Macaca fascicularis: one gene and its partner. The protein of the gene in region 1 interacts with the protein of each later gene in a pairwise test. Links are inferred from orthologs where the notes say so. Each region holds a gene or a part of one and is shown in the gene's direction. Other genes may lie near its edges.

What was found.
Region 2: the proteins of TEX11 (region 1) and MAPKBP1 interact in binary tests that used the Homo sapiens proteins (3 or more experiments, as listed by UniProt). The two-hybrid records come from large-scale screens. The link is inferred for Macaca fascicularis from reciprocal best matches to the Homo sapiens genes TEX11 and MAPKBP1.

The regions. Positions count from the first base shown.
Region 1 is NC_088395.1:77,572,359-77,576,535, reverse strand, and holds the start of TEX11 (testis-expressed protein 11), read left to right. Parts: upstream 1-1,362; 5' UTR 1,363-1,467; coding exon 1,468-1,491; intron 1,492-4,177. UniProt on the Homo sapiens protein: Regulator of crossing-over during meiosis. Involved in initiation and/or maintenance of chromosome synapsis and formation of crossovers.
Region 2 is NC_088381.1:18,410,496-18,414,011, forward strand, and holds part of MAPKBP1 (mitogen-activated protein kinase-binding protein 1), read left to right. Parts: intron 1-183; coding exon 184-239; intron 240-1,430; coding exon 1,431-1,667; intron 1,668-2,195; coding exon 2,196-2,361; coding exon of another isoform or gene 2,362-2,362; intron 2,363-2,575; coding exon 2,576-2,734; intron 2,735-2,848; coding exon 2,849-3,046; intron 3,047-3,216; coding exon 3,217-3,301; intron 3,302-3,516. UniProt on the Homo sapiens protein: Negative regulator of NOD2 function. It down-regulates NOD2-induced processes such as activation of NF-kappa-B signaling, IL8 secretion and antibacterial response. Involved in JNK signaling pathway.

The DNA.
Region 1 (4,177 bases):
TTAGAACTATGTAGCTTATGGACACTTATGTCACATGAGTTTGAAAAAATTTTTTTGATAATATGAAAGGCATCAATTGAGATTCTACATCATGCTTATTGTTTAGTTTTAGGGTTTTTTTTTTTTTTTTTTTTTTTTTTTTTGAGACACAGTCTTGCTCTGTTGTCCAGGCTGGAATTCAGTGGCACGATCTGAGCTAACTACAACCTCAACCTCCAGGCTCAAACAATTCTTATGCCTCAGCCACCCCAGTAGCTGGGATTACAGGCGAGCACATCACACCCAGCTAATTTTTGTATTTTTAATAGAGATGGGGTTTTGCCATGTTGACTAGGCTGGTCTCGAATTCCTGGTCTGAAGTGATCCGCCTGCCTCAGCCTCCCAACGTGCTGGGATTACAAGCATGAGCCACTGCGCCTGACCTAGTTTTAGTGTTTTTTTTTGTTTGTTTTTGTTTTTTGTTTTTTTTAAATGGTGTCTTGCTATGTTGCCCAGCCTGTTTCAAACTCCTGGGCTCAAGGGATCCTCCTGCCACAGCCACCTGAGTAGTTGGTACTACAGGCGTGGAACATTGTGCACAGCTAATGCTTGGGTTTTAAGGAATTCCATGGCCTAGTAAGATTCAGCTATGTGGAGTCTGGAGCTGAGACCATTTAGAAAATGGTGACATCATTTGTGCAGATTCAATAGCTGGTTAATGTTGTTGCTAATTGAGCATGTCATTTTTTTTTTTTCTCACAAAGTAAGGTCAAGACTTCAGAGCCAGCAGTTTGCTATGTCTGTCTAATGCTTGAAAATATTAATAAGTTTTTCAGTTTTACAGGGCACATATCCAGATCTTTCAGATTTTCTACATTTTCTAGTTTTGAAGACACTGTTAAGTTCAGTTTTGTAGGGTTTTTTTTGTTTGTTTTAGAGAAAGGGTCTCACTCTGTAGCCCTTGCTGGATGGAGTACAGTGGCAGGATCATAGCTCACCGTATTCTTGAACTCCTGGACTCAAGTGATCCTCCCAACTCAGCCTTTGGACTAGCTAGGACTAAAGATGTGTGCCACCATGCTTGGCCTGTTTTGTACTTTTAATATTACCTAATAACTTTACTATTAGTGAAGTCAATGCATTTTCCTTTCTGAGAATGAATAATGATTAAGTTATAAACAAGTGACTCCCAAAGAATGCAAATTTTATTTGAAAATTATACTCTTGCTTAAATAAACTTTAAATCTCCAGTTTGGTTTTACTCTAAGGATCAAGTTCCTTCATGCTATATTCATTTGGCCAATGATTTAGGAATAGGTTTAAAAATGATTTGCTACTTTTAGCCAATGGTAATAGTTCACAGCACATTTATCATCCATTGTTATTTCAGAAGTTGTTGAAAACCTGGTTGCAAGTGATAATTCACCTAACATACCAGAGGCAATTGATAGACTCTTCAGAGACATAGCAAATATCAACAGGGAGTCTATGGCTGAAATAACAGACGCTCAGGTTAGTATAAAAATAATTCTGTTTATGACAAGTTTTGATAATTCTTCATTTTAACCAATGTATTATATAGATAAAAAAGTAGTCTTAACCCTTGCTAAACATATAAAAATCTATTTTTGGATGTTCACACCTAATTTAGGGGAAAAAAATTTTAGAAACCAATGGAAAAATATGTGCTCAAGTTTAAACATTTATTATTTATTAGTAATGTTATATATTATTAATATTTATTAACCTCTCCAGGCTTCAGTTTTCTCATCTGTTAAATGATAATAGTAATACCCACCTCTAAGTGTTGTTGTGAATAGTAAACAAAATAACATACATAAGGTCCTGGGCACACACGAGTTCTCTTTTCCTTCCCTTTGCAGCAAAGTAGTGGAGCCACCCAGTAGTGGAGAACTCAGTTGACTATAAGCCTTCAGAAGTGCTTTTTTGGGGGGTAATTTTCTAATGTTTAAATGAAGGTCTGTTACTTACTTAATATGGAAATTGTCTTGAGGCTTGAAACACTTTTGAGAACATTTACCTTGGGCAAATACTTGCATTTTGGTGATTACTTATATGGAAAGGTGAGAAGAAAGTTTATTGTAAATCTCTCTTCCTCTTTATATATATATGTATCTATATATGTATGTATGTGTTTATGTATATATAAATACCTTTATTTAGATATAATTTACATACCATGCAATTCACCCATTTCAAGTATGCAATTCAATAGTTTTTAGTATTTCCCAGAGTTGTTGTGCACCTATCACCACGGTTAGTTAATTTTAGAATATTTTCACCACCTCAAAAAGAAACCACGCCCATTCACAAACACTCTCCATTTCCTCCCATCCCCTTCCCTCCCTCACCCTCAGCCCTAGGTAACCGCTAATCTACTTTTGGTCTCTATGGTTTTGCCTAATGAGGACATTTTATGTAAATAAAATCATACAATGTGTGGTTTACTGACTGCTTTCACTTAGCCCCATGTTTTCAAAGTTCATCCATGTTGTTGCATGTATTTGTACTTCATACATTTTTATGACTGAATAATATCCCATTGTATGGCTATACCATATTTTGTTTGTGCATTCATCTATTGATGAACGTTTTCATTGCTTCCACCTTTTGGCTATTATGAATAATCCTGCTATAAATACTCATGTACAGATTTTTATGTTTTTATTTTTCTTAGGTTTGTACCTAAGAATGAAATTGCTGGGCCATGTGATAACTCTAAACTTTTGATGAACTACCAGATTGTTTTCCAAAATGGCTGTACCATTTTACATTCCCACTAGCAGTATAAGAGGGATCCAGTTGGTGGTGACTCATGCCTGTAATCCCAGCACTTTGGGAGGCCAAGGCAGGCGGATCACGAGGCCAGGAGATCAAGACCATCCTGGCTAACACCGTGAAACCCCGTCTCTACTAAAAATACAAAAATTAGCTGGGTGTGGTGGCGGGTGCCTGTAGTTCCAGCTACTCGGGAGGTTGAGGCAGGAGAATGGTGTGAACCCGGGAGGTGGAGCTTGCAGTGAGCCGAGATCACACCACAGAACTCCAGCCTGGGCGAGAGAGCGAGACTCCGTCTCAAAAAAAAAAAAAAAAAAAAAGAGGGATAGAGGGATCCAGTTTTTCCACCTCCTTGCTGACATTTTTCATTATTTGTCTTTTTGGTTATAGTCATTTTAGTGGGTTTGAAGTGTTATCTTATCTCGTTGTGTTTTTTATTGTGGTAAAACACACATAACATACAATTTACTGTCTTAATCATTTTTAGGTGTATAGTTCCCTTGTGTTAAGTATGTTCACATTGTGCAGCCATTCTCCAGAACCCTTTTCATCTTGCAAAACTGAAACTCTGTACTCATTAAGCAACTCCCCCTTGCCCTCTAAAATTCTTTTTTTTTTTTTTTTTTTTTGAGACGGAGTCTTGCTCTGTCACCCAGGCTGGAGTGCAGTGGCCGGATCTCAGCTCACTGCAAGCTCCTCCTCTCGGGTTCACGCCATTCTCCTGCCTCAGCCTCCCAAGTAGCTGGGACTACAGGCACCCGCCACTTCGCCCGGCTAGTTTTTTGTATTTTTTAGTAGAGACGGGGTTTCACCGTGTTAGCCAGGATGGTCTCGATCTCCTGACCTCATGATCCGCCCGTCTCGGCCTCCCAAAGTGCTGGGATTACAGGCTTGAGCCACCGTGCCCGGCCTAAAATTCTTATGAATTTTGAGATCAGCTTGTCAACCACCATTCTACTTTCTGTCTCTATAAATTTGACTACTCTCAGTACCTCATGTAAGTGGAATCATATAATAATTGTCTTTTTGTGACTGGTTTATTTCTCTTAGTATAATGTCTTCCAGGTTCATCCGTGTTGCAGCATGTGTCAGAATTTTCTTCCTTTTTAAGACTGAATAATCCATTGTATGTGTATACCACATTTTGTTTATCCATTCATTTGTTGATGGACACTTGGGTTGCATCTACCTTTTGCCTATTGTGAATAATGTTGCTATGAGCATTGGTATGGAAATTTCTGATCAAGTCCCTGCATTCAATTCTTTTGGATATACACCCAGAATTGGAATTGCTGTATCATACGACAATTCTGTTTTTAATTTTTCGAGCAACCGCCATACTGTTTTCCATAGCAACTATAGCATTTTACATTTCTATTAATAGTGAACAAGGGTACCA
Region 2 (3,516 bases), on another chromosome or scaffold:
GGCAGATAGTCCCTCGTTGGTATAATGGCTAGATATGGTTTTTCTGGGACTCTGGGGTGAGAGCGGTGTGAGCTGAGGAAACTGAGGCATCATTGTGGCCACACACGGTATGGGTTGATGGGGCCAGGGCTCCAGGGGTGGGTGGGCAGGAGACACCTGCCCTGACTGCCTGTTTCTGTCTAGCCTCGGTCCCCAGCCCTGCCTTGCCCCGAAGCCTGTCCCACTGGGAGATGAGTCGGGTGAGTCGCCATTGTTAAAATGTTCTTCCAAGGTTAGAGGAGGCAAAGGAAGGTGTGAGAACGGGGCTTTCTGGACCTGGTAGGGGTATTGGGGCATGGGGTCTGCCCACATGCTGCACTCCTGTATCCAAGGAAGGCCTTGTCAGGGAAGTTGAAGCAGCTGGGCCAGTCCTGGGTACGGGGGTGAAGAAAGCCCAGGTATTTCCTTCTTGTGGACCAGATGAGGTGGATGGAACACAGAGTTAGTCAGCCCTGGGGAGGTGTGGCACTTATTCAGCTGCCTGGTGCCTGGAAGTAAATATCATCAGAGAACAGCTCAAGGTGGAGAGGTCAAAGGGCCTCTAAGCCAGATAGAACTAAAGTGCAGGAAATCAAGGATCCAAAGAGCGGAGATCTGGAGAAACAGTAGTTCTAAAGACCCCGGTTAGGAGGTAAGCAGAGAACTTCCAGAATAGTTAGAGGGAAAAGGCCATGAGGGGACCCATAACTGAGTGACTGCTCTGGGGTGGCCAGAGGGGGATCAAGGTTCAGAGCAAGTCCCCAGGCACCAGTACCTTCCGTTGTCAGCAACAGTTTCACAGAGTGATGATGCTGTGATGTCTCTGGAGCATCCTGACCGTCCAGGGGTCTCAGGCCTGGGCTATAGGTTTGTCCTTGGTGGTGTGAAGGGACTTTGGGGCCCCCAGCCATTGGAGCGATTAGGGTAGAGAGGCAAAAGTGAGGTAGAGAGGCAAAAGGAGTGGTTGGGGTAGACAGGCAGAAGTGGCCTTTGCCCTGGGCTGGGTTTCTTGGAGGACTCTTGGTCGTAAGTGGTTGCTGGTGGGGCCGTCCTCAGAGCAGGAGACTTTGAGAGACCTCTGAGGCGTCCATGATACCAGGTGAAGGCTGAGACTAGAGGTTCATGTGCCCGAGGATGTGGAGTGCAGCTAAGAGCATGAACTCTGGAGCCAGACTAACCTGCAGGCCACTTCCTGCCTGTGGGATGCGGCCTGGTCACTTAAGCCCCCTGCGCTTCAGTCTCCTCATCTGTAAAACAAGGATTATACTAGTGCCTGTTTCAAAAGGTTGCTGTGAGGATGAAGTAAGCTAATATGTGTAGTGTGCCAGGCACATAGTAAGGGATATGTGGATATTTGTTGATCTTACTGTGTGGTGGTTGTTACTCCTCCCCCACACCCTGCCTCCCACCAGGCACAGGAGTCCGTGGGGTTCCTGGACCCAGCTCCTGCAGCCAACCCAGGACCCAGAAGAAGGGGGCGCTGGGCTCAGCCAGGTGTGGAGCTGAGCGTTCGATCCATGCTGGACCTACGGCAGCTGGAAACACTGGCTCCAAGCCCACGGGGCCCTAGCCAGGACTCGCTGGCCACCATCTCATCTGGTCCCAGGAAGCATGGGCAGCAGGCCCTTGAAACTTCACTCACTAGCCAGGTGAGCCCGCTTTCTCCCAGCTCTCCAGAGAGCTCCAAGGGGCCTTAGGCAGCCTTTGCCACCAGCTGGGACCTGAGCACTGGTCCAGCTATGCTTGCTCTGCCCCTGTGGCACATGGGTAACCTGAACTGCAAAGCCAGGATGAGGCTGGCTGGGCCGTATGGTTTGGTCATCAGGGTAGGCAGGGGAGGGGTTGGGGTAGAGAGGCAAAAGTGGCCTTTGTCCTGGGCTGGGTTTCTTGGAGGACTCTTGGTATTAAGTGGTAGCTGGAGGTTGGCGGCCCAGAGTGCTAATACAGTTCATCCAGAAGCTCACATCAGCAGCTGGAGCCCAGCCTGGCTTCTTGGTGTCTGTCCTTCAACTCCCCCTAGAATTAGTGCACAGCACATCTTTACTCACCTCCACCTCTTCTCCATGGGGAGGGTTGGCCCCCAGGATACTCAGGGCTTAACCACCAGCTACCACTGCCTCATCCGCCACCTCTTCTCACGCCAGCTGCTCTGGTAACGTCCCTTTGCCTGTTCCCAGAATGAAAAGTCCCCTCGGCCTCAGGCTTCCCAACCCTGTTCCTGTCCCCGTATTATCCGATTATTGTCACAAGAGGAAGGGGTCTTTGCCCAAGATCTGGAACCTGCACCCGTTGAAGATGGTATTGTCTACCCGGAGCCGAGTGACAGCCCCACCATGGATACCAGGTAAGGATCCTGCCCTGGCCAGACCTCGTGGGCTGTGCAGCACCCCCGTCTTCCCCTCCCTGTGAGTGTTCTTTAGTTGAGGGAGGGTTGGCCCCCAGGATACTCAGGGCTTTCCTTCTAGCTCACCACTGCCTCATCCCTCACCCTGATCACAGGCAAGAGTCCAGCAGGGCTGCTGCCCACCTCTGCTCACTGCCTTTTCTTCTCCCTGCTGGAATCCTGGCAGTGAGTTCCAGGTGCAGGCTCCAGCCCGGGGAACTCTGGGAAGAGTGTACCCAGGCAGCAGGAGCTCAGAAAAGCACAGCCCTGACAGTGCCTGCTCTGTGGACTACAGCAGCAGCTGCCTTTCCAGCCCCGAGCACCCCACTGAAGGTGAGGCTGCAGCCTGGAGGGAGGGGTCATGGTGGGTGGGGCCTGGAGGTGAGTGGGGAGGCTCTGGCAACAGATGGGTGCAGTGCAGTGCCTCTCTCCCCTCCCCACACCCAGACTCTGAGAGCACGGAGCCCCTCAGTGTGGATGGCATCTCTTCAGACCTTGAAGAGCCAGCTGAGGGTGATGAAGAAGAGGAGGAAGAGGAGGGAGGCATGGGCCCCTATGGGCTGCAGGAGGGCAGCCCCCGGACTCCAGACCAGGAGCAGTTTCTGAAACAGCACTTTGAGACTCTGGCCAATGGAGCTGCTCCAGGTGTGGTCAGAGGGCCAGCATTTAGTGCCTGCAATTTGCCCTTCTCCCCTCCTTGCTTACCTGAGAGGAGGGTCCCAGGGTATAGGCAGTGGCTGGGGGTCTCAGGGAGGCAAAATCTGTGTCAAGGGCTTGATTTCTGCCCCAATTCATGATTTCTCTGACCCTGGTAGGGGCCCCAGTGCAGGTGCCAGAGAGGTCAGAGTCTCGGAGCATCTCTTCACGATACCTGTTGCAAGTACAGACCCGCCCACTCAGGTACAGAGGCCCCTCCCCCCAGCAGCAGCTCCAGCTCTCCTGGCCTCCCAGGGCTGCTGCCCTCTCCTCCAGTGTTCTCTCTCCATGCCTGGGGTGTTTAGCACTCCCAGTTTTGGGCTAACTTGGCCTTTTCCCAGCCCTGTCTGGCTTTGTGCTTGTCCTTCTCTCCTAGTGCCCTGGTGCTATCAGTTTTTCGCCATTTTGGCAGGGAGGAG